Linked DNA regions of Oreochromis niloticus. The protein of the gene in region 1 purifies or fractionates together with the protein of each later gene. This does not show direct contact. Links are inferred from orthologs where the notes say so. Each region holds a gene or a part of one and is shown on either strand. Other genes may lie near its edges. The genes, in order: psme3, mrps34, psma4 and psme3ip1.

The links.
Region 2: the proteins of psme3 (region 1) and mrps34 purify together in Homo sapiens (co-immunoprecipitation; 3 studies listed by BioGRID and IntAct, counting the BioPlex papers as one, with this or other methods). This does not show direct contact. The link is inferred for Oreochromis niloticus from reciprocal best matches to the Homo sapiens genes PSME3 and MRPS34.
Region 3: the proteins of psme3 (region 1) and psma4 fractionate together in Homo sapiens (co-fractionation; 3 studies listed by BioGRID, with this or other methods). This does not show direct contact. The link is inferred for Oreochromis niloticus from reciprocal best matches to the Homo sapiens genes PSME3 and PSMA4.
Region 4: the proteins of psme3 (region 1) and psme3ip1 purify together in Homo sapiens (affinity purification with mass spectrometry; 4 studies listed by BioGRID and IntAct, counting the BioPlex papers as one, with this or other methods). This does not show direct contact. The link is inferred for Oreochromis niloticus from reciprocal best matches to the Homo sapiens genes PSME3 and PSME3IP1.

Annotation. Positions count from the first base shown.
Region 1 is NC_031973.2:6,504,268-6,512,223, forward strand, and holds the start of psme3 (proteasome activator complex subunit 3), read left to right. Parts: upstream 1-4,932; 5' UTR 4,933-5,062; coding exon 5,063-5,104; intron 5,105-5,603; coding exon 5,604-5,636; intron 5,637-6,235; coding exon 6,236-6,298; intron 6,299-7,435; coding exon 7,436-7,540; intron 7,541-7,638; coding exon 7,639-7,687; intron 7,688-7,758; coding exon 7,759-7,877; intron 7,878-7,956. Other genes in the region: nbr1a (NBR1 autophagy cargo receptor a), read right to left, coding at 1-55, 176-399, 503-580, 786-968, 3,116-3,138, 4,152-4,170, 4,268-4,330, 4,681-4,782. UniProt on the Homo sapiens protein: Subunit of the 11S REG-gamma (also called PA28-gamma) proteasome regulator, a doughnut-shaped homoheptamer which associates with the proteasome. 11S REG-gamma activates the trypsin-like catalytic subunit of the proteasome but inhibits the chymotrypsin-like and postglutamyl-preferring (PGPH) subunits.
Region 2 is NC_031969.2:14,051,545-14,057,763, reverse strand, and holds mrps34 (small ribosomal subunit protein mS34), read right to left. Parts: upstream 2,063-6,219; 5' UTR 1,907-2,062; intron 1,677-1,906; 5' UTR 1,627-1,676; coding exon 1,309-1,626; intron 1,219-1,308; coding exon 1,176-1,218; intron 1,000-1,175; coding exon 701-999; 3' UTR 523-700; downstream 1-522. UniProt on the Homo sapiens protein: Required for mitochondrial translation, plays a role in maintaining the stability of the small ribosomal subunit and the 12S rRNA that are required for mitoribosome formation.
Region 3 is NC_031965.2:10,700,036-10,707,653, forward strand, and holds the start of psma4 (proteasome subunit alpha type-4), read left to right. Parts: upstream 1-4,594; 5' UTR 4,595-4,743; intron 4,744-5,146; 5' UTR 5,147-5,169; coding exon 5,170-5,172; intron 5,173-5,267; coding exon 5,268-5,310; intron 5,311-5,749; coding exon 5,750-5,912; intron 5,913-6,000; coding exon 6,001-6,078; intron 6,079-6,380; coding exon 6,381-6,469; intron 6,470-7,618. Other genes in the region: slc25a44b (solute carrier family 25 member 44b), read right to left, coding at 1,660-1,787, 1,944-2,571. UniProt on the Homo sapiens protein: Component of the 20S core proteasome complex involved in the proteolytic degradation of most intracellular proteins. This complex plays numerous essential roles within the cell by associating with different regulatory particles.
Region 4 is NC_031972.2:7,609,671-7,616,699, forward strand, and holds the start of psme3ip1 (PSME3-interacting protein), read left to right. Parts: upstream 1-4,023; 5' UTR 4,024-4,174; intron 4,175-4,441; exon of another isoform or gene 4,442-4,498; intron 4,499-5,800; 5' UTR 5,801-5,805; coding exon 5,806-5,932; intron 5,933-6,023; coding exon 6,024-6,122; intron 6,123-7,029. UniProt on the Homo sapiens protein: Promotes the association of the proteasome activator complex subunit PSME3 with the 20S proteasome and regulates its activity.

The DNA.
Region 1 (7,956 bases):
GCTAGGGTCATGGCTATGTCTGCACATCTCACACAGGATGCAGGACGGGCACACGCTGGCAGGCAAAATAACAAAAACATTAATGTAAACATTTACACAGCTACTTAAAAAACAACAAACATGTAAAAATCGTTAAAAACATTGTTGTGATGACTAGAGTTAATTTCATGCATACCTGCATTTGTAGGCTCCTTCAGAGGTGAGTTTGTTGCAGCTGCTGCAGTTTGGGGTGTAGCCAAGGGATCCATTCGAGGTGGAGGGGCCTGGTTTGGGTCCCATAATACCGCCAATAGCCCCAATTGCCTCAGGGGGACCTTCAGGGGATTTGTGGGTACAACACTGGACAGAAAAGTCGCTGCACATTCTTTCCACTACCTCCTTTACCACCTCATCCTTAAACTATGAAAAACAGAAGGAAAGCACAGTATTTTATTTAATCGCCAATTAAAAAATAAAACGTTCCATGTAAAAATACTGCTTCACAGCAGCAGTTAAATTTTACCTTCTCCATGTATGATCTAAACCACATAGGAGGGGGCTCATCATCTGGTTTGTTCCCCTTGTTATCTTTTACTGCTACCTGCATGAAAATACACCATTCTTCAGTTAATTGACAAAATCAGAGATTTTAGCTTTTAATAAATAAGCACAAACTTTTTCCCCAACAGGTAAAAAAAACTTAACTGATTCGAGGCACTGACTTTATTAAAATGATTTCAAAGGCACTGCACATGTGAGAATCTATAGGGAGAAGAAAGTTGGGGGGGAAGAGTAGAATTACTTACAGCTTCTCGCTCAGGGGTGACCTGCGTGCCTTTGTCCACTGTTTTAACCCTTGAGGGGTAAGGAGGAGCGGGTCGAAGGTCTCCTTTCAGCTCCTTCACCTCGGTCTTCAGTGGGCCCCCACAGGCCTGTCCTTTCATCTTGTACACATTCATGTGCAACTGGTTTCCCTGCTTCTCTGCACTCTGCATGGAGAATTAGCACAGAATGCAAACCACAGTCAAGTGACATGAGAACACACAGTAGCAACGTGATGTGTGTACAGATGCATAGTACATATACTGCACATATATTCTCTTATTTTCACTGTTTGTTCTTCTATAGCTTTGGTAGTCTAATTAAGGACACAGTTGTGTTGTTTATGTCTTAAGTGTAGTTTTACGGTGCAGGTTCTCTATGTAAGGATATATTCTATAGCAGTGGTTCTCAAACTGTGGTACGCATACCACTGGTGGTACGTGGGCTCCCTCTAGTGGTACATGTGAAGTCTCCTTTTTTTTTACGATTAAATAATATGCCATGTTCTGACTGAGAGATTTCAGAAAAATTCAAACAGCTCTGCTGTCACTTCCAACATAAATGAAGACAGAAAACTAAACAGGAGTGACGTTTGTAGGGTTACTGAAGTTGGGCTAGCTGGTATATAATAATGTGCTACGTGCTGGCTAGCAATACGTCTATGTTAGCATAATATAAACACAGTGAAGCTGGAGGATGAATGCTAACTTTTTTCCACTCAATAAAAGTTAACGTGAGGGTTCCCGATGGTTAGGGACAAATGCAATCGGCAGGATGCTGTAAACGGACCAAACTTCAGTCAGGAGAACAACTGAGATAATCCATCCACAATATGAGGTTAGCCATTAATATACTGCTGTAGAGCAGGGCGATATGACCAAAAATATTTATCACGATATACATTTGAAAATTTGCGATAACGATATAACTGACGATATAATTGACACTAGACAAAATACTTTACAACTCCACAACTTTATTAGTGCAAAAAACACCATCAATGTATTTTCACTTAAACAAGCAGCTATTTTTTTATGTGCATTAAAGTTATATAAAAATGTAACAGTGCAAATTCCTTGCTGACAGTTTAACCAAAAGGCATTTCCAGTGGAAATCGGCCGACATATCCTCAGCAAAACCATGTATAATATCCACAAAACTTAAAAAGAGGTTATACACACACAATATGGTAATATTATGTTGAAGCACAGTACGTATCACTCCGCGAGGCTTCTGCCTACGATAGCCGTAATGCTCCGACAATCCATCAACCGGTGCGGGTTCGTAGCTTAGCAAAGTCGTACTAAAACATTTGACAGATTTTCGAGCGCCATGTACATAAAATCGTTTCGAGGTCAGTAAACACAACCAGAATTCATACATAAGGCACACGGGATTATAAGGGACACTGTCGATTTTCAGAAAAATCAAAGGATTGATTTTAAGTGTGCCGTATTTTCCAAACAACATGGTAATAACGACGGCCCACTAGCATGCGCTACCAAAAATAGTGCTTTGTTGTGTATCTGACTGACGAAAGCTAAACCAGTTCCACACCACTGAAGTTGCAGCATTTTTACAAACCAGTTCTGGTTCATCCGTTTCATTTAAAGATCCACTTTCGCTCTTCTCATTCTGCGTCGCCGCCATGTGCGTATGTAAACATAGGCACTGCGCATGCGCGTTTTACCCATATTCTATTGCGATATTTCATTTTCCTATCGTTGCCCAAAATTACACCGGTATTACCGTGAACAGTATGATATAGCCCAGCCCTATATACCGCTGCATGGCCTGGGCTGTAGTTACATGGTAAGGTTTTAAAAACTGAGCTTTAAAATGAACAGGGGTGATAATAACCGAGAGAGGCTGACAGTGATCAATGCCATTTTTAGGGGCTTGTTCAGATTAAATAGAACAAGATACACAACAAAAACACAACAGCCTTAATAAACGCAGAGTAGTTTAGACCCAGAAGCAGGATTCATCACGTCATCATTAAAGATTGGATATCCCACCTGCTGTGAATGTTTTAATGCAGTACAGTTGTTATTATTATCACTTGTCACATCCTGTTCATGACAGTTAAAATAAATAACATTCATATAATAAATAAAATTGTCTCGTGTAAACTGTATATGGTGTTAAGTAACCCTATACCACTGTACTTTAATGTCGGTCATAAGGGTGGTACTTTAAGAGCCATATATTTTATGAGGTGGTACTCTTTTTGAAAAGTTTGAGAATCACTGCTCTACAGTAACAAAAGCTATCACTCTGTCCTTTCTGTTTAAACCCAGCACTGCTACAGTACCTTGATGGCTTCTTCATATTCATCTGTGGGGGGAAAAACAAACAAACAATAAATAACTTCACATTTTGTGGCTCAAATCTGTATTTTTTCCTGGTATTTTGATATTTTCATGTACGGGTACACCAGGAGTAAGGGTCAAAAAGTTTAGGTTCCAAATGTAATAACTTTCTAGCAATGTATTTTAAAGACCAGTTAACAACTTGAAAGACACAGCTTGACTTCACACATCATTGTTTACTGTTATGCATATCATGCTACATGTCCTGCAGGCCAAGCTGTGAATATTCAACACAATGCTTACAAAACCGGTTTGCTCGAAACACATTTTTTATAATTAATGCAGAAAAGGATGTTGATCACAATCCCCGTAACCAAAAGGCAGTTGCCTACCCCATGGAGTTTTTGAGCCTACAATTGAATTACCCATTTGTTTTACCTGTGCATTTAAATGTCTTTGATCTTGACACCCCACTGTTGTCTTCTAGGCCCTTGCTGTTTTACGTTTTGTCTCTGTTTAACACCTTTGTGTTAATTCTGGACCACATGTTTTGCATGGCTTTTCAATGGTTCAGCATAAGTTTAGCTGTTGGTAAGTCCACTGTATTTAGCAAAATTCAAAGCAAATTCTCTGAAGACAGGACTTGACATAATTTCTACAATACATGTTATGAATGCCAATATTATCTGTCATAGGTCCATATCAGGTTAGGAATCTATCAGTTGGACAGCTTTCCTGGATCAAACAGGTCATTAGGGGGTGACTATGTATGTAAGCATAATGGGTTAGGATGTAGTTAGGGAAAAGAGTCTTTGTTATCTTAGTTAACAGAGGTTTGTGCCTTTTCATGTTATTTTTCAGCCACCTGATAAACAAACATGTATTTTAATTTTGAGTATATTAAACCAAGCTTTAAACAAATGCTGGCTACATATATTTTTAACAAAGTCCTGGTGATTTACCTTTGAAGGAAGACCTAAACCTAAACATATTCAACATAAATTATATAGAAAACAAGCAATTAAATATTGTCCTCACCTTGACTGTTTATGCAAATCTGAAATGTAAGGTAAATGAGATCAAAATTAAAAACTGAACTTGGGATTCTGCCAAAACATAACCACTGAAAATCTACAATGTACACAATCCCTTACCTCTTCATTGTCTTCATCAAAGTATTTCACTTGAAAGTGGTTGATCCCAAATGATGCTTTGATCTGAAAAGTAACGCAGAACAATTGAGAGCAGTTCAGTTTTTCTCCTCACACGTGTTAGGAAAAACATGAACCATGACTGAGTCAGTGAGAAAGACCTCCACAGCTGGATACTGTATTATACATATGTAGTAACCTTAAATCAAACTGAGGACATCCTCACTTGTGTGCCTATATTTTGTAAAGCTCCGGCTGGCTTAAAAAAATATTATTTACAAATACATTATTGTTATTGTCGTAACAAGATCGACTATCCTTTGGGAGCTCTGTTTATGTGTCTAGGCCAAAACGTCTAGGCCTACTTTTTCACTAAACTGCGCCAGCGTTTAGCCAAGACTCTGCTAGCTGCTTACCCAGACTTCAACAGCTTCCCACTCCAATTTATCCATATCCTGAGCCAGAAACCTCTTCACGTTCCCCCGGAAATTGACTTTAATAGTAACAGGGAGCCCCATGTCCGCCGTCTATCGGTGCTTAATGGCTATCATTTGCGTGAAACCCGGCCTGTGTGAGCCCCGCTGCCCTCGGATGTTTTCTCTTGTTTACATCGTCAGCTGCGTCTAGAAAAAGACGGTGACGTTGCGCGCAAGCGCAGTTGCAACACCGCCTCCGTCGCATGTTTATTGTCGTCATCTTTAAGCTCACGAAGTGTGGCAGACAAGTGATAAGCCACACGTTTACAGGTGAATTTAATGCTGTTGGGACAATCGTTCTGCTCATATTCGACTACATAAGATGTCTTCACTCCTCAAGCTGGATAGTGAAATTAAAACCAAGGTGAGGTTTGGCCTTTTGTGAATTCCAGTTGAGTTTATACTGCGTGTTGTTGTTGCCATGTTCTTTGCTAGCATGTTAGCCACATTTAGTAGCATGATGTGAGAGCTCGGATAAGGCCAGGCTAACAGCAGCTACCGGCTAACCGGTTTCTTGTTTCCCGCCCACTGCAGTACACCTGTCAAACCTTCCCCCAGGTGTGGTGTCAGGGTGGCGCTAAACGTAACGGGGATATAGATAAAGTTTGATTTACAGCCCCCTGTGCTGGGAAAATGGTTGCTGCTACTACGACCACATGCACTGACGAAGGCCTGAGCTACCAAGTTAGCTAACTCAGCCAGCTGCCGTTCACACCGGCGTTGAGTTACCAATGCTAGAGGTTGTCTCTCACACTGAGGAACCGGTCATGTGTTTAAAACTGGACCAAAATAAAGTTTACTGTCTTAAAGTGTTTTTTGTTAACTTGGTATTCAAACTCTCGTACATCTGTTTGTGTTTACAGGTCGCTGCTTTCAAGGAACGTATCACCGCAGAAGTAAGTCTCTGTCTTACGTTGTAAATTAAAATATATACATGCAGGAGTTTATCCTGGCTCATAGCTAGCCTTTAGGGGCCTGTAATTAAGGCGTAGAGTCTGCTTCTTTATTTAATGGAAGCCTGCGTCCAGCTATGAGTAAATTAAATCTAACTTACTAAAGTGCGAAAAACCAGTGTGGTACTGGTGTAACACCTTTTGTTCTATTTGAGCACTCAAAGCACTTTCTATTAAGCCTCATTCACCCAATCGCGCTCTTGCTCACACACATACATACACATACATTCAAACAGCATTTTTATCTGTACTTGAGCACTGTTTATCTGACATTCACACACACTCACCCACTCACACACCCCAGTTGATGGATTGGGGACAACTGGGGTTAGTATCTTGGCAAAGGATACATTCACACATGGACTGGAGGAACGGGGAATCAGTCTACCAACCTTCTGATTTGTAGGTAGTGTGGAAACTCACAGATATAGATGTTTCTATATATGTATAGCTAAATGTGTATATTTGGTGAGCACAGTTTCATACACACCTATTATGACTGTGATGTCCAAGACTCCACTAACAATGCACATTTCTTCCAGGCAGAGGATCTAGTCGCCAATTTTTTCCCAAAGAAGTTACTGGAACTTGACCATTTCCTCAAGGTCAGTTAATTGTACATTCAGCTAAATCAAGTTGGCATAATTTTAGATCTTTGTGGATAGTTGAAACTCATTCCTTCCCATGTATTATTTGGCTTTAAAGTTCATTATCTGTTAGTCAGTCTTTATCAATTGTCCAGAATTAAAATAGTAACAGCCAGGTGCTGTTAAACAAATTCACTTGACGAACTGGTCATCAGCAAGCATAAACATCTCTATAAAAGCAAAAAATTTGAAGTCCATCATTTTTCAGTGAGGGAGGTTGTTCACAAGAGGAAAACATTGAAATGGGTGTTAGTAATCACAGGTGTGGATGCTCCAGTTAACTCACCCCCAAGGTCAAACTGTACAATGTTCAGAGGTAATTTTTGTAAGAGTTATATCTCTGACTTTACAGGCCTCAGTTAGAATGTTAAAGTGCATGACAGCACAATTAAAGACTGGACTAGTGTGGCTTGTTTGTAAGATTTGCTGGGAGAAGGCTCTTCAGCCACAGGACCTGGCCACCTTCCAGTCACAGAGTCGACCATGAACTCCTCTCTGTCCTAAAGTAGATTCAAATGTGAGGCCATCTGTTTAACAGCTAAAGTTGGGTCACAAAAGACAATGATCTTCAACAGATTGAGTGAAAAAGAGAGAGTAAGGTGTTTTGCTGTTTTCCAGAAAGGTCCAGACTCCAGCTGGGTTTAAATACTGTGACAGGGATTTATGAGACTGTGTATTAGTAAACACCTGCAAACCTTAATAAAGTGAAGTAGCATATAAAGAGTGGGCCAAAATTCCTCCTGTGAGAGACTGATATCATACAGAAAACTATTCAGGTTGTTGCTGCTAAAGGTGGTTCTGCAAGCTATTGAATCATGGTGTGTTCTTAGTTTTTCCTCACACTGCTTCTGTCCTTTGGCTTGGTTATTGTTGACTACGTAATGACATAGTAGTGTCCAAGACTTCATATGTCACTACATAAGTCATATGTTTTTCATCTGTGTTTGTATTCAGCCATTTTTCAAACCTGCTAGATCAGATTTTTTGATGTCCTGACATGTGAAATAGATTAGATTTGGCAGCAGATGTGCTTTCTTCTTATCATGTCTGTATATTTTGGCATTTGACAACTAATCTTGTCTTTGTTTTTTTCAGGATCCAAGCATAAACATCACTGAACTGAAGGAAATTCACTCAGACATAAATCTGCCAGTGCCAGATCCCATCTTGTTCTCAAATCTCCACGATGGGCTAGAAGCGGTGAGGATCCATTTTAGAGTTAGATTTCGTATTGTTACAGTAACTGTTGGTAAGGTAAGGATGAGAAATTGTTTGTAACTGTTGCATCTCTCTCACAGCAAAATGCCAAAAAGAGGAAGATGGAGGATGGAAGTGGGGTTGACATGGGTAAGTACAGTTTCGCTGGCTGAATATTTAGTCTGTATTTTATGTATTTTTAACTTTTACTCCTTTATCAGTGACTGGCACCAAGGTCTTCGCCATGCCTGATGGGATGATGAAGAGCAATGCGAACCTTGTTGATCTTATTGAAAAGGTCAAGCCCGAGATCAGGACACTCATAGAAAAATGTAACACAGTAAGTAAGAGCTCTAAAGTCTCTTATCTTATCTAAGTAATGTTATTTTGGCCATTTGGCATCCCCAGCAAGGAGCCAT
Region 2 (6,219 bases), on another chromosome or scaffold:
TTGATGAACAGATGCCTTCATTTATTATTTATAGGTCTGAATCTGACCAGTGGTACGACACTCTACACTGGATTAGGATCCTTTTCATTAAAATGTACTTTTAAAATCCTGGCAAAGGTTTGCCTTATTAAAACACAAATCACAGGAAATGCTATAAACCAGCAGAATGGCAGCAGTATACTAAAAACCACCAGTGACTCCATGTTTAACATAATTTGTGAAGTGACTATGTAGGTTAGCTTGGTAGCATATGCAGCTTTGGGGTCAAATGTTGAAAAACACTGGATGAACTGCAACATAATGCAAATGTCCCCTTGAGTCATTTTAATTGTATTATTATACAAGAAAATGACTAAAGGCTACTGTTTACTTTATACTCTGATAAGGCTTTTTTTTTTTTTTTTTTTTTTTTTTTTTAAAGTTCTCAGATCTTAACCAGAATATATCCAAGTCAAAGTTACAAGTTTGCTGTGCACTGTGATGTGATGTGCACATAAAAAACAGAAATAACTTAAAAGGGGCTACATTTCATCTCAAATTTAATATTCAGCATACAACAATAACACACACGCACAAGGGCCTACATCAGACCCACAAAGAAGTAATCTGAGTGGAAGATTCAGCCAGATATAGAGAAGTATTTGTCAACAATGATCTAGTCCAAAAATATCCAGGATTAGTGAACATTCAAGTGAAACCATTACACCGCGGTCCCCTCTTTCCTCTGTCGCTCTTGTTCCTGCGTGTGAAAATAGTCTTTGTTAAGTAGAACATCCCTCTTTAAAGGCAGGATGGGCTCCTCTGCCGTTCTGCTGCTTCCTACTTTCTTCTGTTGCGCCAGCAGCATTGCGCGAAGCAGGGGAGGGTAGGCGACGTATCGGACGGGCGGCTCGGGCAGAGGCTCAAAGTCCTTAAACTGCTGCTCCGTGTCTTTGGGAATCAGGCGCCAGTCATGGTACATCACCTTGTCCACCTCTTTGACCTCGCTCTCCTTTTTCCCTGCAAATGATAGTTTGTTTGGAGAATATTTACCAAATAACACATTTCAGGCAACACAGATATTCATAAAATACTGATTAAAAATGACTGTTACAGTAACAACAAATAAGACAACACAGGCTACAATGACCATAAACAGTGCTATTATTATTAATAACAGATCAAACTAATCTTACCTTTATAAGTGAGGATGCCCCACGCTTTGCCATGATCCATGTTCTACAAAACACAAAGAATAGTTTCCATTTCTTTAGATACAAGACTCTCACTTTTATCTAGCATAACAGTGTGCAGGCTCCATGCTCTCACCTCGGATGTGTAGTCCACCTTGACCTTGGTGATCTGCCAGTAGCTGGGCTCGGAGTGGTCCTCCAGCCAGGATTTGCGGGTGAAGAGTCGGCCCACTCCGAACAGCCTCATCCCGGCCAGCAGGGAGAAGAGGCGGCTCTCCCTGCGGACATCCTGCCATGCTAATACCGGTAGCATCTTCCCCGTGAAGGGCCGCTTCATTGTCTCGTAGTCCAAGGCGTACTTCTGGGACTCCCGGGGCCGGGACTTGAGCTCCCTGTACGCCCTGATCTTCCGAGCCATTTCCGCGATGAGGCGAAGTCTCTTCTTCTTCACCATGACTGCAGTGTCTTCCTCACAGCTCCGATGGACACGGGTCAGCGATTATCCTGGAAAAGAAATGAAAATAAAAAGAAATCTTGTCATATCTGATCTTGAATTATGTCTTTGAGGTGTTAGAGAAACGAGATAAAACTGCAATCAAATGGGAAGCATCCTGTTAGCCGGTGCTCCGTGCTAAATAACACCAGTTATTAGTCGTCCCAAACATTTGTTCCGACCCATAGCAGTGAGCTACTATCGAAAGTGTTTAAAATCATTAAATGTCTACATTAAATACCTGAAAACTCCCCAGAAAGAGAACTGCTGCTACTTGACCTCCGCAAGCAAGGTGCAGAGCTTCCGACGCTCACTTGGTCCGGGCATAAAATGCTCCGTGGGAACAGCCAGCGTGCTTTTGTTCCGTGTAAGGAGAAGTTCCGTCTTCATAAAAAACAATTTTAAAAAATTAAGAAATGAAAATTATCATTTCATAAGAGAGCTTAGATTAGCCAGTAAAACGTATGCCAGGCAATCACACACGAACACAGTAAATACAAAGTATTTTAAATGCAAAACCACCAATTAATGTGTTTTTAAGATGCAGTGGGTTTACGGTTCCTCTTGTCGTCAGTTTCCAAACAATCCGTTCAATTTCAGTAACTTTATGTATTAATTTATTTGTTGTAAATATCGATATTCCTTCCTTCTTATCTCAATAATTTACCGTGTATTAACCCTCTATGGAGGACCACAAGAGCCACTAGCCCGTCTGTCTTAGTTAGTCCTATTTTGCTTGCTGTATGTCCTTTTCCTTAAACCAAATGCAAAGGAAACTTACAGGCAGCTGAAATGAATGACAGGTGAAAACATTTTTTGTGAGTCATTTTCAAAATGAAACCCCCCAAAAGAAAAGAAACTTCTTTTCAACAATATGTAATATTAATTGTTAAGCTTTCTTTAATATGCATTTAATAATCAATATTCTTTCTTTCTGGATTGCTGTGTTGATGATTCCAAACAGAAGAAAATTTAATTTATATTTTATTAAGAATTTTGTCTGACTGCCTGTGAAGTCAGACATCTATGAAAACCTGGATTGTTACACACTCAACAGCCACTTTGTTAGGTACACCTGTTAAACCTGTTCAACAATATCTAGTCAGCCAAACACATGCCAGCAACCCAAATGCATTTAGGCATGTAGACAGAGTCTAGAAGACCTGCTCAAGTTTAAAGTGAGCATCAAGAAAGGTGATTTAAGTGACTTTGAACTTTGGTTCTTGGTGTCAGAGGGGCAGCTTTGAGCATTTCAGAAAATGCTCATCTGCTGAGATTTCTCCAGTCACCACAGTGCACCTTTAGGATGTTAAATGTTGAATCTACGCCACAATGAACTAAGTAGTTCTAAAGGGCAAAAGGGGGCCCAACTCAGGACCACTAAGGTGTACCTAACAAAGTGTCTGTGAGTGCAGATTAACACCAGACAGTAAACAAAGGATTTATCTTCATTACTAAAGCACCTAAAGTACACACAGGAGGATGGGGAAGATGAGTGTGCTGTGAGAAATGAGACACAAACAGCAATGAGTCACTGTCAGCTGCAGAAACATTCACAACAAAAACCCGACCTCTTTAACAAGCGCCCAGTTGACCAGCAAAAAACGAATTTGTTGCTACTAAATGAACAAATGGAGCCCATGCTGCATATTTAGCATTCATTTTATTTTCAGCTGAAAATCATGCTGATACAGAGAAAGGCAAGTGAAGGCCCTCACATACAGTATTAATAATATGACACAGTATAGAAGAAACACTTAGAATTTACAGTAAAACAGTAAGAAAAAAGTGCTTTGATGCATCGATGTGAAGACAAATTCATCTGCTGGACCACAATTAACTTCCCGGTGGTTACATTATTCTATATGGGGGACGAGGCAGCTGAAAGATTTTACTCAACTAGATGATCTGTGGCTCGTGAGTGATGAGCATGGTCCTCTGGTACTATCCCTGCTGCTCCATAATGACTCCCTAACCTCACCCACTGCCTCAGAGAATGCTTGTGTTGCATAGTACCTTAGGTATTTGTATCAGTGTACTGAAACCAAGAACTTTGAGGACATCAGAAACGGGTGTCTGACCTCTGGGCAAAACACTAATGTTTCATTATTATGGTTTGCGACTACAGAGAATCTATTTACATATCTGCCCCACATGTCTCACCGTACCCCAGGCTGTCATTCATGAACACTCAAATACTCAAATACCCATCAAGTACTCTGAGCTTCTCTGTACTGAAAAACATTTATATACAAAAAGTGTTTGTATATATTAGGGCAGGCTGCAAAACATGGCTGCAGCATGCATGTTTACACTTTTATGGTACGTCCCAGCCATCAACAGTATAAAAGATGGACTAAGTGTCTCAGGTCTGAAAACAGAAGCCACCAGGGGGCGATACCTGTGGTTCCTAAAAGACTTCTGGTCCCATAGTAATCTCTGGGGAAATGCCCCCCCTGCTGGAAGATCTGTAATCGCTGTGCTGCAATAGATTTAATGTTCTAAAGAGCATTAAATCTATTTTGTAAATTTGACTCCTTCCACAGTGCTTAGCAAATTTCTCAAATCACTGCCCAGTGAAAGGTTTACGCCACAGCTGCCCTAAATTATCAGTACTCAGAATTACCAAAATCCTAATGATTTGATTTTTTAAAAATATTCACTGTTTTATTTTTTAAAAATCTGAAAAAAAATATGCCAAATTACAGTTATTTAGTTTTAGTGGTTGAATATTAAGGTTGACTTTTTTTATGACTGGTGGTCTGGTAAATTTGTTAAGCACTGCATATGTCGGAAAGGAGGATTATCCAGGACATGCTCACTGGTAGCCAATGAGCATGCGGTTTAATAGTCAACTCCGCCTCCTTCTCATTGCACTGGATACCAAAATGCCAAGACGGCAACAGCAGAAATTCTTGGTGTCATCACGGTAGCTATGTCCATCTTTTTTTTACCATGGTCCCAGGAGATTATTGAAACATAACATTTTCTAAAAGGTATAATGTCCCAATAATCGTTGAATCAATCAAAATATGGCTCAGGTTTTTGGGCAGTGATGCAGTTTAGGTGATGTTGCCTCCGTCCACTGCCTGAGTGGAAAATAAGATGTACGCGAGGACATCTCAGGCCCATCCGTGTTACTTTTAAGCCATTGAGAATGAGAGAAAAAAGGATGTTAGGCCTCTTGATAGGTCTACACTTTAGTCACAGCTTGACTGCTTCACTTCAGATCCACTGTGGTGGTGAACAGAGGCAAAACAATCCTTTTCACAGACTCCTCGACCTGACTGTGCATGGTCTCAGTCTCAATGGTCATTGTAGCAGTAGCAACACCGAGTCTGTCACAATGATGACACCTTTAGCCATATAAAACCATATTTGGACAAAATGAACCGTATTCATACTAAACACATAGTGTGGGAGCGGATTACACAGCAGGAGGATGGATATCTTTCTGTACACAATTTCATATTTACTATTTTCTGCTCATCCACTGCACTAGAGAGGATTTACAACACAGAGCTTGAACTGAATTCGGGGCCAGAAAAGCTGCTTTGAGAAAGACTTTTGAGAAAGAAAAAAAGCTGAACAAACTAGTGCTGGGCGATATGACGATATATATCGTGTGGACGATAGAAAAGTGTCTGTCGTGTCATTTGTCTTCTATCGTTTCTAACCCTAATTTTATAAATTATTACATAAAATATATCATTAACCCTTTACAACCGGTCGGAGCAGGCACACTCCGTTTTGCCTAACTATTTTTAAATCCCTGTAGAACTGGAACCACGTAAGGTAGCGCAATAATTGTTTTTGCATATGAAACCGTAGGAGTTGTACTTACATCTTATTCCATTAGCTCGCCCTAGGTCACGGTTTCCTTCCACATATAGCTTTGCAAAAATTGCATAAAAAGCACTTCCAGCAACAAAAACATAATATTCCAGACTTGCAGCAACAAAAACATAATATTCCAGAAGCACGCTTTGCCGATCGGATCAGCTGTTCATAACACTTCCTACTTGGAATATAAGTCAGCGCGAACTATCGCATGTCCGCCATTACCTGTCCGAAACCGGAAGTTACGTCATTTTCGCGCAAAATGTAGTTTTTTACCTTCAAAGCCTATGTTGGTGTTTTTAAAAGTCATGTTTGACTTTATGCTTTTCTGTATCGTTTCTGGGATGCTTAGAAGTCAAATTACACTGTTGGAAATAGTTTATTTTGATTCACATGCTGGTTTTTTGCAAATTTGCATTATAATATTTATTTTCATTTTTCCTGTAATATATACAAATTAGTGTATCTCAAAAATAAAACTATGGAGACACTCAAAATAAATTTATCGTGGTTGGAAACTATTTTGTGCAACTTTTTTGTATTTACAGTTTTGAGGTATAAGCCTCTTAAATTTCTCTAACTGGAAATGTATGTAAAAAAAAAACAATAATGATTTTCAATTTTTTTGTAGTTTATTGCACTTTTTTGCAATTTATGTAATTACTATGCACTTAATGCATACATATTATTAAAATTTGGGCTATAACGGTTGTA
Region 3 (7,618 bases), on another chromosome or scaffold:
TTCTCCAGATACAGAAAAGTCATAATGTATCCCTCAAAATTGTAAATGAAAAGAACTTGCATAAAATCCTTTCAAATCACACATTTTATTCATTCATTCATTTATTTATTTGTTCATTTATAACTTCATTTTTGAGGTATTCTTGCTATAATTTGCAGCAAAAATGAAAATAAATGCATATTGTGGCCAATATGCAAAAAGTATGCATGCACATCAACATAGACCATTTCCAAAAGTGCATTCAAACCTCTAAGGCACAAAAGTCAAACATGACTTTTTAATAACACAAGTAGGGATGGGTACCGGTTTCGGTTCTGACATAAACGGTAGTAACCAGACTGAAAAGCAGCGCACATTTCGGTGCTTTATTTCGGTGCTTTTTTTTCCTGAGCTGTGATACACTTTGGATTTTAGCCAATATTTTACCTTTCCAAAGATAGTAGGCGGGCCCAGGTACGTACGTTCTTTTAGAGCAGAGCTACAGATTAAAAATGCCCAAGGCGAAGCGGTCAAAAGTCTGGCTGTACTTCACAGCAAAAGATGCAAACCCAGCAGCCTGCAACAAGTGCTTTAAGCTGATACTGTGATACTGTGCAAATGAGGTAACTCCTTGAATCCGATGAAACACCTGGCGACGCATAGCGTTTTTTTAAAAGCCGAGAAATGCGCCGTATTTGATTGCTTGCTGCGAGACCTCACACCGTGCACATCTACTGCGGGTGTGGTGCCTGTTATCGGACCCGGAGTTAGCAACATCCCCCAAGAACCCGAAGAGGAGAGTCCTGGCCCCTAGCCCTGTCAGTGTAGCAGAAATGATGACGGATGATGATGGCAGCAGCAGCCGTTCTTCTCTGGGTGAGTAGCTTAATGTTGTTCGTGTGTAATTTACGTTGAGTACGCTAACACGTTATTAAATTAATGCATGTAAGGTGAACTAGCAAACACCGTCGTAGTTACATGCGGCTGTCTTCTTGTTTGATGGCAGATACTCCCTTCACCCTGGCCAAAAAGGCTAAAATGACCAAAGAAAAAGTGGAAAACAGTTAAACATGAGAGGTTTTTGGACAAAGTTTGTGTTTTTTCCATTGATTAAGCACTGCTTCCAGCCAAGAGTGAGACCATATATGCCCTATAGCTGCAGAAAAGGCTAACATTGTTATCTTTTTACAAAAAAACAGCTGAACATGAGAGGTTTTTGGACCAATTTTGTGTTCTCCATTCTTTAAGCACCGGTTTGAGCACCGGTTTGAGCACCGTTTAAGCACCGGCACCGTTTCAAAAGTACCGGTACCGGCACCGGTATCGGATAAAACCTAAACGATACCCATCCCTATGATTGACATTAGCAGAAGGAAAACAGCTGTCTGGGACATAGTGAAGGCGCAATATGTAAGCGCAACTCCTGGAGTTTTATATGCAAAAAAATAATGCTCTAACTCATTTGATTGCATTTCTACCAGCATTTAAAAATAGATATGCAAAGCTGGAAGCGCAGGCAATCCTGCTGGTGATAAAGAATAGGAAGGGTCATTTTCACACAGACTTCTTTTTGCAACCAAAGGTGCCACCACCTGTTGGCCATTCGACAGGAAGCAGTTTTCCTTTATATACAGTCTATACTTCCAACATTTGTATTTGATGAGAAATATAATAGCTTACCTGGACTCGGGCTCTGACCACATCCATTGGATTGGTGACAGTGGAGGCAGTAGCAGCAGCTAGTGGTCCAGCCATGGCTTGTAAGATCAGATGAGGACAGTCGCTGGGAGCCAGTTTAGAGAGTTGCTCTGCAGAACATTACACATGCAGATATGTTATTAATCACATGTTGACGCCACGAAGCATTCATTCACACTACAAATTTACTAAAACAATGAAAACACAAAAGATAAGACAGACTTACAGCCTCAAAGTTAAGAAACTGCGCTATAGCTTCCACTTACCAGCATAAAAGTGATAGAAAGGCCACCACACAGCACTGTTCGGGATATAGGTGAGTAAAGAAGCCACATATCCCCTGTAGAAACCCCTGAACCCATCAGCAGCAAAAATCTGAGCAATAATGTTCCTGGTTTGGCCAAACACTTTCTTTGGCTTTCCAGTCTCAGTGTTTGAGTAAAGCCGAAAGCGTGTGAGGTGCTGCCCTTGGCCCTGCATCATCAGCTGCTGAGATATGACATCTATGGGAACAGTGATGCTCTGAGCGACCAGGGAGGCCGAGCCCCCCGCCACCAGTGACTTGACGGTGTTGTCCTCTGAATACTGCGAAACGTACTTCCTCACCAGCTCATAGGTGGTTATGTATGCTTGGCCTGAGATGAGGGTGAAGGTGTTGACCATGAAGCCACGATACAGGCCTCGTACGCCCTCCACCCGCAGGATCTTGAAGAAGGCATCGAAGGTGCCGCCATAGAGTGACTTGCCCTTCTGCACTTGCAGTCGAGTCCGGATCAAAGTGGCCGGGTAGACTGTGGCCCGGATTGTCATAGTCATGAACAACCCAAAGGAGTAGAACTTCTTTTTGTCGAGGTCCTCCCATTCGATGATCTGGATGTTCCTTTTCTGCTGCATCCTGACAGCTGTAGGTGCCCCCTCATCAGACGGATTCTTGTCTAACACACAGAAGAAAAAGAAAGAAAACAGAACAGTCTTTAAAGTGGCAGCTAAAAGAAACTGCGCTTGTTTTTTATATTCAAAATGAAAAACTGGCAAACATTTTGTGTTCTGAAACTCTATTAGACACTGTATTCTGGAGTTGAAGGGCAAGTGCAGAAACTTCATGAAAATCCTCCCGGATGCAATACCAACATCTCTAATTTAGGTGATCTTGTACCATTTTTGCCATTCCTAATATTACCAAAATATATGACGAAATACCTTTAATACAAAACTGGTTGTTACTTCTCCTTGAGCAGTAATGTTTAACTTATATCCAGTTATCTACGACTGAGTTCAAGGGTCATGCTGAAACTAGCAAATCAAAGCTAAAAGGCTGTTTCTAAAGAAATAAGTGTCTTAAGCAAAAACTGTACTGCCATGCTCTTACAAATGTCTGATTATATATATATATACACACACACACATTATAGCAGAATGTAGCTGACCCCGGTGTCAGAGGACACCACGTTCCGGAGTCAACGTGGAGTCAACTGGAGCGCCAGTGTTTCATCTGAAAACAACACGTAAACCTAATATAGCAACTAACACACTGAGCAAGCCAAAAGCTTCACAAAACGTGCCAGTTGCCACCTGCTGGTTTAGCGTTGTTAGCTAACATATTTTAGCTTAAGCCGCGCTAGCCCCGGGGTAAACGATGTTAGCATTGGTTGAACGTTAACTAGCTTAGTGACTACTTACCTATTCGGACATATGTTTATTTCAGAGTCATCTGCTTAGTGTAAGTCGAACATGAAACATCGCGTCAACAAATGACTGGGAATGTGTAACTAAAGCTAGCGTGGGTGCAAGACAAGAAAACACGGAGTTGGCTAACTTCCCAGCTAGTAGGCTAACTCTCTGAGATCTTCCTGCTCCCATTCAAACGCCATGCTGTTCAAACACCCAATCACATGCAACGTGTCTTCTTCGCTTTCTTTTACATTAGGCTTCCGGATATTTCAGCTGTCTCGTTACTGTCGCGCACCACCAGGGCTGGAGTAGTAAATGTATTTCAGCAAGTTCAAGAGGCAAGAAAAGGTAATTTACCAGACTTCTGTTTTGAATATATACTTTATCAGGGCCCAGTTTCTGATATTAGTTTAAGTAGCGTTTATCATAGTGAACGCGACTTGGTTTAATTTATTGATCATTCATGGTATAAAATATGTTCCCAATGATATTATAATCTTGGTGTTCCATTGATTTTACCAAATTAATAAAAGCAAATATTTACAATCTAAAGAAAGAAAGAAAGAAAGAAAGACTAACAGCTTACTGAGTATAACTGAAAACAGAATAGTAGTTCAACTCAATGACAACAATGACCCACAACATGTAAAAACATACCTAATGACCTTATGACTCTTAACTGTGTCATGTGCCATGGCTCAGAAGTCATTTGATATTTTTGCTTCTCCACAAGACAGTGCAAGGGTTATTTGTGACAAAAACATGGCAGCAAAAGTGAAAGGGAATGTTTACAAGATTGTACTGAGACCTGTGAAACAGTGGTGCTGACAAAAAGAGATGGAGGTAGCAGAGTTGAAGCTTTTCACTGGGAGTGACCAGAATGGACAGGATTAGAAATGAGTACAACAGACGGTTAGCTCAGGTTGAGCAGTTTGGGGAAAAGTTAGACAGGCAAGGCTGAGATGGCCTGGATATGTGCAGAGGAGTGACAGTGGGTGTATTGGACTAGGAATGTTAAAAATAGAGCTGCCAGGCAGGAAACAGAGAAATACCTCACAGGAGGACATGCAAAGGGTTGGTGTGACAGAGGAGGCAGTTTATCCGCTGTGTCTACCCCTAGAGGGAGCAGATGGAAGAAGGAGGATGTACTTTTGCTTCGGTAAAGTTGTCATTTTTAAAAGTGCCATTAGGAGGTGTTCAAGTACATCACTAACCAGCAGTCAGTGAGCTGTGCACTGTGTTACAGACTGATCGGTCCTCCCACTGAGAGGTGGCGCTGCTGAGCGGCTACTTCACTGACGCGGTACGCCGGTGTTTGTGAGGAAACGCCAAACTGAAAGTAGTGGACCTCTCATCCTGGGCAAAAGTACGCCAAGTTAGACTCGTTCACCAGAGGTAAATAATACACAATTACTATATAGTCACTGCAGCACTTGTTATTTTAGCATAATTTTACATCTTTACTTCCTTTTGTCGTGGAGCAGCTTGGCGACTTCGTTTGTTATGAACTAGCTCGTTAGCATGCTAGCTAACATGCTGAGATATTGCAGATTCATTCTGCTGCACCAGTTAGCCGACTAGCTGCCAAGGGCTTATTAAAGCACGCGTTGTTTTTATAAACCAGCTTCAGAAACTTTTAGCACCTATTTTGGTTTCTAACTTTAGCAAAATATATGTTGACTTTCTTTATCTCTGAATTCAGATACGTCTTGTGTCGATTTTAAAAAGGCATCGTTTTTGGGTCTTGTCTTCTGCAGCTTACGCCTGTCTGTAACTGCTGCTCTTTTTACTTTTTCAGGATATTGCCAGCGACTTGAGAAAATGGTACGTAGCTGTTATACTTTTTAAAAATCTCAAAATGTTGTTTGTTAGTTTTTTTCAACTAGTATAGGCATTAATTTTGTGTTGTTGTTGTTTAGTCTCGCAGATATGATTCCCGGACAACCATATTTTCTCCAGAGGGTATGTTTTATTTCTTATCTAAGACTTTGTAACCAAATACTGGTCAAAATAATCCAACACAAGAGGCCAAATACTATCACTCTATTATTACATTGTATTACAATCTCATGAGTTTTTGTTATTTTAATCCCTCTATGAACTTCAAACCAAATACAAACTATCAAAATACACCAACTCATGACTAGTACTTAAAGCAGGAACATGTGGATTAATGAGCCTAGTTCAACGCCCTAGAAATAAACACTCTGGGTCAACATATGAATAATTTGAGTTTAGTATTTTACTTCAGGGGCTACCTGTGAGCTCTAATCCATAGTGAAACTGCTGTAAAAGTATTTTTCTTTAGTATTTTATATAGCCACCGTTTTCCAAAAACTGGTCTTAAAGGGGTTTTTTTTAGTATTGTTCATTTAAAAACCCAAATTTTTGTAATTTACAGGACGCCTGTATCAGGTGGAGTACGCAATGGAAGCAATCGGTCACGCTGGAACGTGTCTGGGTATCCTAGCAAATGACGGGGTGCTGTTGGCAGCAGAGAGACGCAACATCCACAAACTGCTCGATGAGGTTTTCTTCTCTGAGAAGATCTACAAACTCAATGAGTAAGTGAGCTTCACTAGATTCTTACCTTTAAAATGTATTCAATTATTTTGTTTTTGGTTAACATTGCGTTTGTGGTCACATTTTCAGAGACATGGCCTGCAGCGTTGCTGGGATCACATCAGATGCTAATGTACTGACAAATGAGCTGCGGCTAATTGCACAGAGGTGAGTTTCAGAAGGAGACAATTTTATGGCTGTAATTAGAAACAAAGGGATGATGGTGAATGCAGGCTGATGTAACCACCACCACCAGCAGTTGTTTTCATACCCACAAATAAAGAAAAAGCTAAATATGTGTAGACTGGTGCACTTTCAAAATGAGTCTTATTACTTGAGTTATGTTATTACAAAATGTGTTAAATAGTTGGTGATCTGAAATTTGAGATTACAGCCTTAAACATGTGTCTGTAGTTTCTAACCATTTCTCTCATTTACACCAACCACTAACCAGTTTGAATTCTTCTTAGGTATTTATTGCAGTACCAAGAGCCAATACCCTGTGAGCAGCTGGTCACAGCTCTGTGTGACATTAAGCAAGCTTACACACAGTTTGGAGGTAAGATGCACTGTCTGTTTTAATCCTCACAGCCTTTTACATTGCTCACCACGGCAAATCTCCTCTACTTATTGTCAGTCCTTACATTTAAAGTGTTTTAAATGGGGATGTGCTTGACTAGTCAACTAGACATTTAAACACTGCTGCCCTTGCTCTTTAACACCAGAAACACTAGTTAGTTAAACATCCAGCCATCCGCTTATCCTTTTCAGGGTCGCTGGAGCCTATCCCAGCTGTCATAGGGCAAGAGGCGGGGTACACCCTGGACAGGTCGCCAGTCTGTCGCAGGGCTAACACACAAAAACAGACAACCATTCGCACTCACATTCACAACGATGGGCAATTTAGATTAATCAATTAACCTATCCCCACTAAGTGCATGTCTTTGGACTGTTGGAGGAAGCCGGATTACCCGGCGAGAACCCACGTAAACATGGGGAGAACATGCAGACTCCATACAGAAAGACCCCAGTTTAATGGTGGAGTTGAACTCAGGACCTTCTTGCTGTGCGGCAGCAATGCTAACCACCATGCCACCATGCTGCCGGTTAAACATAATATTCTTATTTTATTATTGTACAACTGTAGTTGCCGGTTCAAAGTCATTACTGTGCCAACAGCTGCTAAGCAGGGCTACAGCCTCTGACAGACAGCTACACCACCCTCATAGACAGACCTGTCTGTCTATGAAGGGAAGTTGTGAATGAGAAAGAGGTGGGAGTAAAGAGAGGACAGCCATGCTAACCCGTGTGGTTCTGCAGTACTTTGATTTCAAAAAGAATTAGCAGGTGTATGTCAGCTGTGTATGGAAACAGTAACCAAAGCCAGGTGTAACCACAATCCACAGCAAGGTGTGGAGGCTAGCATGTTGCTGTTGCTGCTAGCACTGCTAAGCTTAGCAAGATTCTTCAAATTAATCTGACACTTTGTGTTTTTGCAGTGTTATACATCCATGATACAAAGTGACACACATAACAGCAACATTTAAAACATGATTTGATTAACAAGAAACGCGATTAACAGTTTCTTCTAGCTACTAAAATACACCAAATATTTATCTACGTCCATTAACGTGTGTGCAGTTTTCAGTGTTTTCTCAGTGTGTTTTGTATTCGAGACTAGTCAATTAGTGAGATTTTTTCTTCTATC
Region 4 (7,029 bases), on another chromosome or scaffold:
GAGCGAGGGAGAGAGGGTGACATAGATAAAGAGACTAAAACAAGAACAGGAGATGGACAGAGCTCAAGAGACGTGAAATAGGGTCGCGATGCAGAGACAGAGGAACATGGAGACAGAGGTGCACAAAGGTTGAGCAGTGGACACACAGTTGGCCATTATGTATATGCGAACTATAGAATCTTCCTGATTTTCCACAGCATTAGTTTAGGTCTGCACCTGTGTTACTGTGTGCACTTTGTGTTCACAGCAGCAAATGACTGTATGCAATTGTCACCGTAGCTACCAGCCTATGATTCAGTTTCCACGACAACCCATCCTCTTCTTCATCTGCAGAGAACCTTTCGGTTAGAAACATGTGTGTCTCCAAAGACAGAGGGTGACAGAGAGGCTGAAATGCTCAGAGACCAGCCACATCGGGAAAGTAAACATTTCTGAAGCTATTTCAGGTGTACGCACACCACCGAGCTCTGGTGGCATAGGATCTGGCTCTTGAGTTATAAATCTAAACTAATGTCTAACACTTGTACAAAAACAGACAGCCAACAAGGGCATGATGCAGAGATTGGCACTGTTGCTTCTGGTCAGCCGGGGCCTTTCTGTTTGGAGTCTGCATGTTCTCCCAGTGAGTGTGTTTGTATTTTTTTTTGTGGGTTCCATGAAAGTCAGGCTGATCAGTAACTGATTGGCCCTGGATGTGGATGGGAAACAGTGTGGCTATCTCGTTGTCTCTGCAAATCTAAGGGATCAGAGTCAAGTTTGTATTCTGTTATTTGTTTATGTCAAATAAAAAATGAAATTATTCACAGATGCAGATGGGGGATGAATAAAAGAAAACAACAGAAAGTGTCATATTGGTGTTGGTGGCTTCACTGGAATTTGGCATTCTCTGGAACTCTACTGGAGAGATAAGCAACAATCATCCAACACATATTCTTTCACCAGGTGATGGCCGTGGAGAGACTTCAAAATACAGATATTTTGTTGGGTTGGATTCAGGTGACTATCAAGACCACACCGTGTGATTCACATCATTTGGATACTCATCAAACCACTCTCAACAAGATATAAATGTTTCATCTTAGGGTAAAGGTGATCACTCCCTACAGCTGTGTATTGACCTGCAGTGACCCCTCCCAATAAGAACACAAGTGGATCCAAACCACAGCATAACAGGACCACCACATGCCCCCACTGCAGGGGTCAGATGTTCTCCTTTTTCCTTTAACTCCTTTTAATGTATTTAGAACTACTGGATTTTTTAAAGCCTACAAATTATTATGCATGCAAGTATTAATATCAATATTGATCTGATGCCAATTCTACTGTCGTGTAAACAGAATTTTACTTTTACATCTGTACAAATCTTTCAATAAGTTTTATAAATTAAAAGTGGCAGATAAATAACATAAAGTCTTTCACTCCAGCTGGGAAAATACACACAGGTATTACCACATTGGTGGAATGATAACATATCTGTTGTCTATCAGGCTGACCATTATCTCAAAAGATTCGTTACTCGCCGTGCTCACTGGACACCAAATGAAATGCAATTGCATTGGTGATTTCAGTGAGTCTTTGTGATGTGACGGATACACAGACGCGCGCTGTAGCCCACGGGCTCGCTATTATGGACGCCTGAGTTGATGCTGGATGATTCACGTTAGCATTGCATTGTTTTTCTTCGCATTCATGTATTAATTATGCTGTAATTTGTGCAGTTTGAATATATTGTGTTGCTTTGTGCTGCAGTCGTTGCATTTGATTTCTTCTTTATTACTTTCTGTAATTTAGATGTTAATCCGTTTTGAGGGGCAAGCTCTTCATCCTCTGCAGTGACTTTCTGTGGTGGCATTTAAATTTCGTTGTATATTTGTGTCCAGACGGCATCTAAGAAACCTGAAGCTGCGTGCTGCAGGGAACAGCGGTGATCGGTACATGTACACACGTGGTGCTTTAGGGAGCGTCTGATTAGCTGTTGTTTTGAGTTTTAACAGTCGGAGCGATGCTCGTTAAATAGTGGGAGGCCAAATTCGTGATTGTGATTAAAATACAAATAATTGGGCAGCACTACTTTTATTTAGCCTGTACAAAACTTTTTTTCCCTGCTTGGATACGTTTACCAGCTGCTGCCTTATCGTTGCAGTCAAAACATCAAAACTGATACAAATCCCATCACCCATAAGTGGTGAACTGTTCCTTTAAAATATGACTGAGCTTTTAGCATTAACCTCCATGGTGCAATACATTTTATCACAGGACCTGACAACATGTTGATAATATAAATAAATAATAACTTCGCTGCATTTGTGGAAGCATGCATAACAGGCACTGAAAGGCTCACTCCCCAGCTGATTGGTAAAAGCAGCACATCAGACTGACTAATCAACCCACGAGAACATTTGGGTTTCAGTTATGTGCATGCGTTTTGAACAAACAACAGTTATTTTAGAGACACTATGGCTGAGGCCATGTCCAATGAAATGTACTTTCATTGGACTGGGACAAAAACTATTGTCTTGTAATTTCAGTTTTTCAGCTTAGCAATCATCAATAGTTACTATTTTGGTCGTAGTGCATCATTAAATGAGGAATCATTTATAACTTCGATATAATGTAACCTTCACTGAATAAAACCATTGGAATGGTTTCTTTTCTTTCTTTCGGTTTTATTTATATAGCACCAATTCACAACATCAGTCGCCTTAAGGAGCTTATCCTAAAGTAAATGCCCTACATTATTAGAGATAAAACTCCAACAATCACATGACCCCCCTGGGCAAGCACTTGATAACGGCGGGAAGGAAGAACTTCCTTTTAAAAGCAACAAACTTCTAGGAAAACCAGGCTCAGGGACGGGCAAACACTTACTGCAGCAGGTTAGGCTGTCAGAGGTTGGACTATTAAACCAGAACAGATTTTCAAACTAGAAAACTGATTCTAAAAGTAAGTTATGATTGAAAAATTGTGTTTGCATGATGTGAGGCCACTGTCTGGCTTGTAAAAGTTGCACAAAGCCACCGTGATGTCATCCACTGGCTTTTGAAGTCATGTTTAAGAAGCTGCAAACCTCGTGTTACACTTATCATCGTTTTTGTTTTTTGAAAGCAGATGTCACAAGAACGGGTTGGATCTGACTGTGAAACTGAAGGTTACTTCATGGTAATGTACAGTCATGTGATAGCAACTTGCCAATCCCATACACCCTAAAGCATAACATGCTTCTGGACAAAAATGGGAACTACATGTTTCCTACATGTGTCCAGCAACACTTGAAACTATCAGCCATAACTTTAAACTAGCCAAGAAAGTGTTTACAGAGGGAAAGAATTAAGTGAGTGGAGGATCGTTTTTTCTTTAAACTGGACTTTGTTTTAGCAACACAGGAGGCTGTGGCCTGTGGGCGCCGCTTGCTAAACGTACACATTCCATCATGTGAAATCTGTCACTTAAATTGAAAGGGGATTTCAAGAGGTCATCGTGAACAAGACGAACGATTAAAATAAATTACCATTTACCCTTAAAATGTAGCTGAACAGTCCTCCAGGGATACCTTTGGACTTCATTAATGGATTTTAGGCGCCATCTTGTGATCAATTTGGTAACTGCTTACAATCTTATTTTTATGGGTTTACTTATATTTATTAGGTAATTTGAGAAGGCAAACTTACAGAGAAGGTCGAATATATACAACTGTGTACTATATATTCACGGTTTTATCTGCAAACGTAATTTATTTGAAAAGTTTTAGTCTTTTCTTATTTTCATGTACATTTCCTCTTTTTTGCATATTTTTTGTTTCGACCTCTATTTATTTTAGGTTTGGGTTTGTTTGTTTTTTCTGGAAAATTGAACTACAAATGGTGCGTATAATTAAGGGTGCGTATAATTAAGGAAAAGAAGCACATGATGTAGATATAATTAATAATCGACAACAACTGTGTCTACTAATAAATCTAGGTCATTGGCAATATTCGGTAGGCCTTCGTTTTCTGTTAAAAAAAATTTAATAAAAATCATCAATTAACATATATTGAAAACAGAGCCGCGTGCGTTTAACAACAAAAAAAGCGAGTCGGAACTTAATTCGAACGCCGAATTTCGCGACGAGCCGTCTTCAGCGTGACACAAAGATCATTAAACTGGAGCGCTAATCTAGCGACAAGCCTGGATCTTGGTAAGGTTTATCCACATACCGGTCTTTAATCTTGATACGAGACAGTCCTAAACTAAAGACTGCTTGGTCGTGCATCTGAAAATGTTTCTTTTCAGACTTGACATGATGTTCTGTTGCTCTTAAAGAATATTTTTAACGCTAACGAAGCTAACGTTAGCCGCGGGTTTGCAACGCACAAGGCATCTGCGAGTTCAGAGTTTGCTGCTCTGCTATATAGGCAAGAGGTCAGGTGTGTGAGTGTTTCCCTTAATCTTTGTGTGTCCACAGCTTTAAGGGACTAACTCTGTGTAGCAGCCGCCGTTGTTCTCGCTGTTCTGTGTAACGGTGAGTGGATCATCAGGGCCCATTATAAACTAAAAGCTTCGGTCAGTTAAGCAGATCTCTCATTTAATTCACTCGTCATCTTATTTCACATCAGTTAAAGTTTAAAATGGCTTCAATCTTCATATTCATCAGAGGGCTAAATAAAAGCCAGAAATCACGCAGATCGGCACAGCTTAGTCGAAATATTGTGCAGTGGTGTTGTGGTTGTCCAGCTGTTGCGCTTGTTATCGCTTTGTATGTGATGAACCGATAAAAAATAACAGGCTTAATGCCATCTGCTGCAATGCCAACCAATGAAAGCTGTCACGTGATGGCCATTTTCATCTTTTGTGCCTTATTTTTAAAGTCAACAAAATATTTTGCAAGCCAGTAAATTGATTTGTCAGGAAACGTGGCAAAATAAACTATCGTGAGACCTGTTATGATACGTGGTTTGGAGATGATTACAACAAAAACACAGGAGGAGGCAGTGCTGAATGTGGCAGAGTTGAAGATGTTAAGATTTTTACTGGGAGTGATCAGGACAGGATTAGAAATGAGTATATCTGAGGGATCGATCAGGCTGAACGGTTTGGAGACTAAGTTAGCTGGGCAAACAAGACCTGGATGGTTTTTACATATGCAGAGGAGGGATATTGCATATATTCAACAGATGTTGATGATAGAACTGCCAGGCTGGAGGAAAAGAGGAAGGGCACAGAGAAGATTCATGGATTTCGTGAAGGACAACATTCACAGGGTTAGTGTGACAGAAGAGGTTGCAAAGGATAGGATGAGTGGGAGGCATATGATCTGATGTGGCGACCCCTAAAGGGCACAGATGGAACAAGTAGTAGTTGTTTTTGTTTTCTTTTTTTAATGCAGAGATGCAGTAAAAAAGGCAGTAGTCAGCAGCAAAGTCTTTTAAGGGTTTTGCTTATTTTAATGGAATAGACTTATTTTTTGCTGAGATATGTCAAGAATCAATTAATCTTCTGTGTTCTTTGAGGAAAACCCACAGGTATTGATCGAGCAGTCACTTGTAAATGGTCTGTGTCCGGTGCGGAGATGGGACAACACATTTTAGAATGGTATTCAGAGCTTGTGTGTGGCTGTAGAGCAGGTCGTCTAATCTGAAGGTTGGTGGTTCGATCCCCGACTGCTCCAGTCTGCATGCCAAAATCCTAGGGCAAGACACTAACCGAGAGTTGCTCTCCAATGCGTCCATTGGAGTGTGAATGTTGCACAGAAAGCACTTTGAGTGCTCAGAGTAGAAAAGTGCTATATAAGAATCTGCTAATTTCTGTGTTTTATGTTGCGCAGTTGTAATGGCAGAAGCAGAAGGAGCAGGTGTCGACCTCAGCAGGAAGTTTGTGTCTGAAGCGGAGCTTGATGAGAGGAGGAAAAAGAGACAGGAGGAATGGGAGAAAATCAGAAAACCTGACGACCCAGAGGGTAAGAACACATATCCACAACTTTACCAAACCTCTAAAGGATGTCCCACTGTGCATGTAACCCCTTTATATTTGTCCTTTGTACTTCTCAGAGGTCCCAGAGGAGGAGTATGACCCACGCTCCCTCTTTGAGCGGCTGCAGGAACAGAAAGACAAGAAACAAGAAGAATATGAGGAGCAGTTTAAATTCAGTAGGTCTTTGTGGGTGTTTTGTGCCTTACTCCACTTTTCATCAGGGTTTGAATGAACACTTTTCTTCTGTAATTCTGTGATTGTAAGAGATAATGTATTATCAGCAGTATGTGTCAGTACACTTTAATATTCAGTCTCTAAAGGTTGTTTTTGAACAGCTTCATAGCAAATGTAACTTAAGCTTTTTACAGCACAAGCCACCATTTTTAGACATCATTAAGGTCCACTTATGAATTCAAGTCTTAAAAATGTCTTTGGTTCTTGAGGAAACCTTGTAAAGTCTGTAGATTTAATCTTGAAGAGTTGATCAGAGTTAGAATGGTGTGAAACTTTGCGCCCCTTCCTGATTTTCTTGTATGTTTGTCACTCTTAAATGTTTCAGATCATTAAACAAATTGAAATATTAGACAAAGATAACACAAGTAAACACAAAATGCAGTTTTTGAATGAAGGTGTTTATTATTAAGGGGGCAAAAATCCAAACCTATGTGGACCTGTGTGGAAAAAGTGATTAAAGTAGATCAAAAGATCCTTAAAAGCCAGACATCACGCTGTGATCCAAGGAAATTCAGGAACACTCTTTCACACAACTGTATGTCAGGTTGGGAATTGAGATTCGTCTCCCAACACAATAATGGAAGTACTTACTCCCATAATTTGGTGCTTTTAATTCTGATGAAATTCAAGATTTCAAAAATGTCTTCAGAACTTGGAAGCAATGATTATATTAAGGGAAACATTGAAATGTAATCTCCTGCTTCGAGTATCAGACAACTGTCCCCCAGTTTTTATGTAGAGCTTATTTGGAAAAGCTCTCTTCAGTTCGTTCATTAATAATTCCATATTCAACATTTTTGCAAGTGATGTTAGATTTTTGTTTTCAGTGCTTCCGCAGATGACGCTACT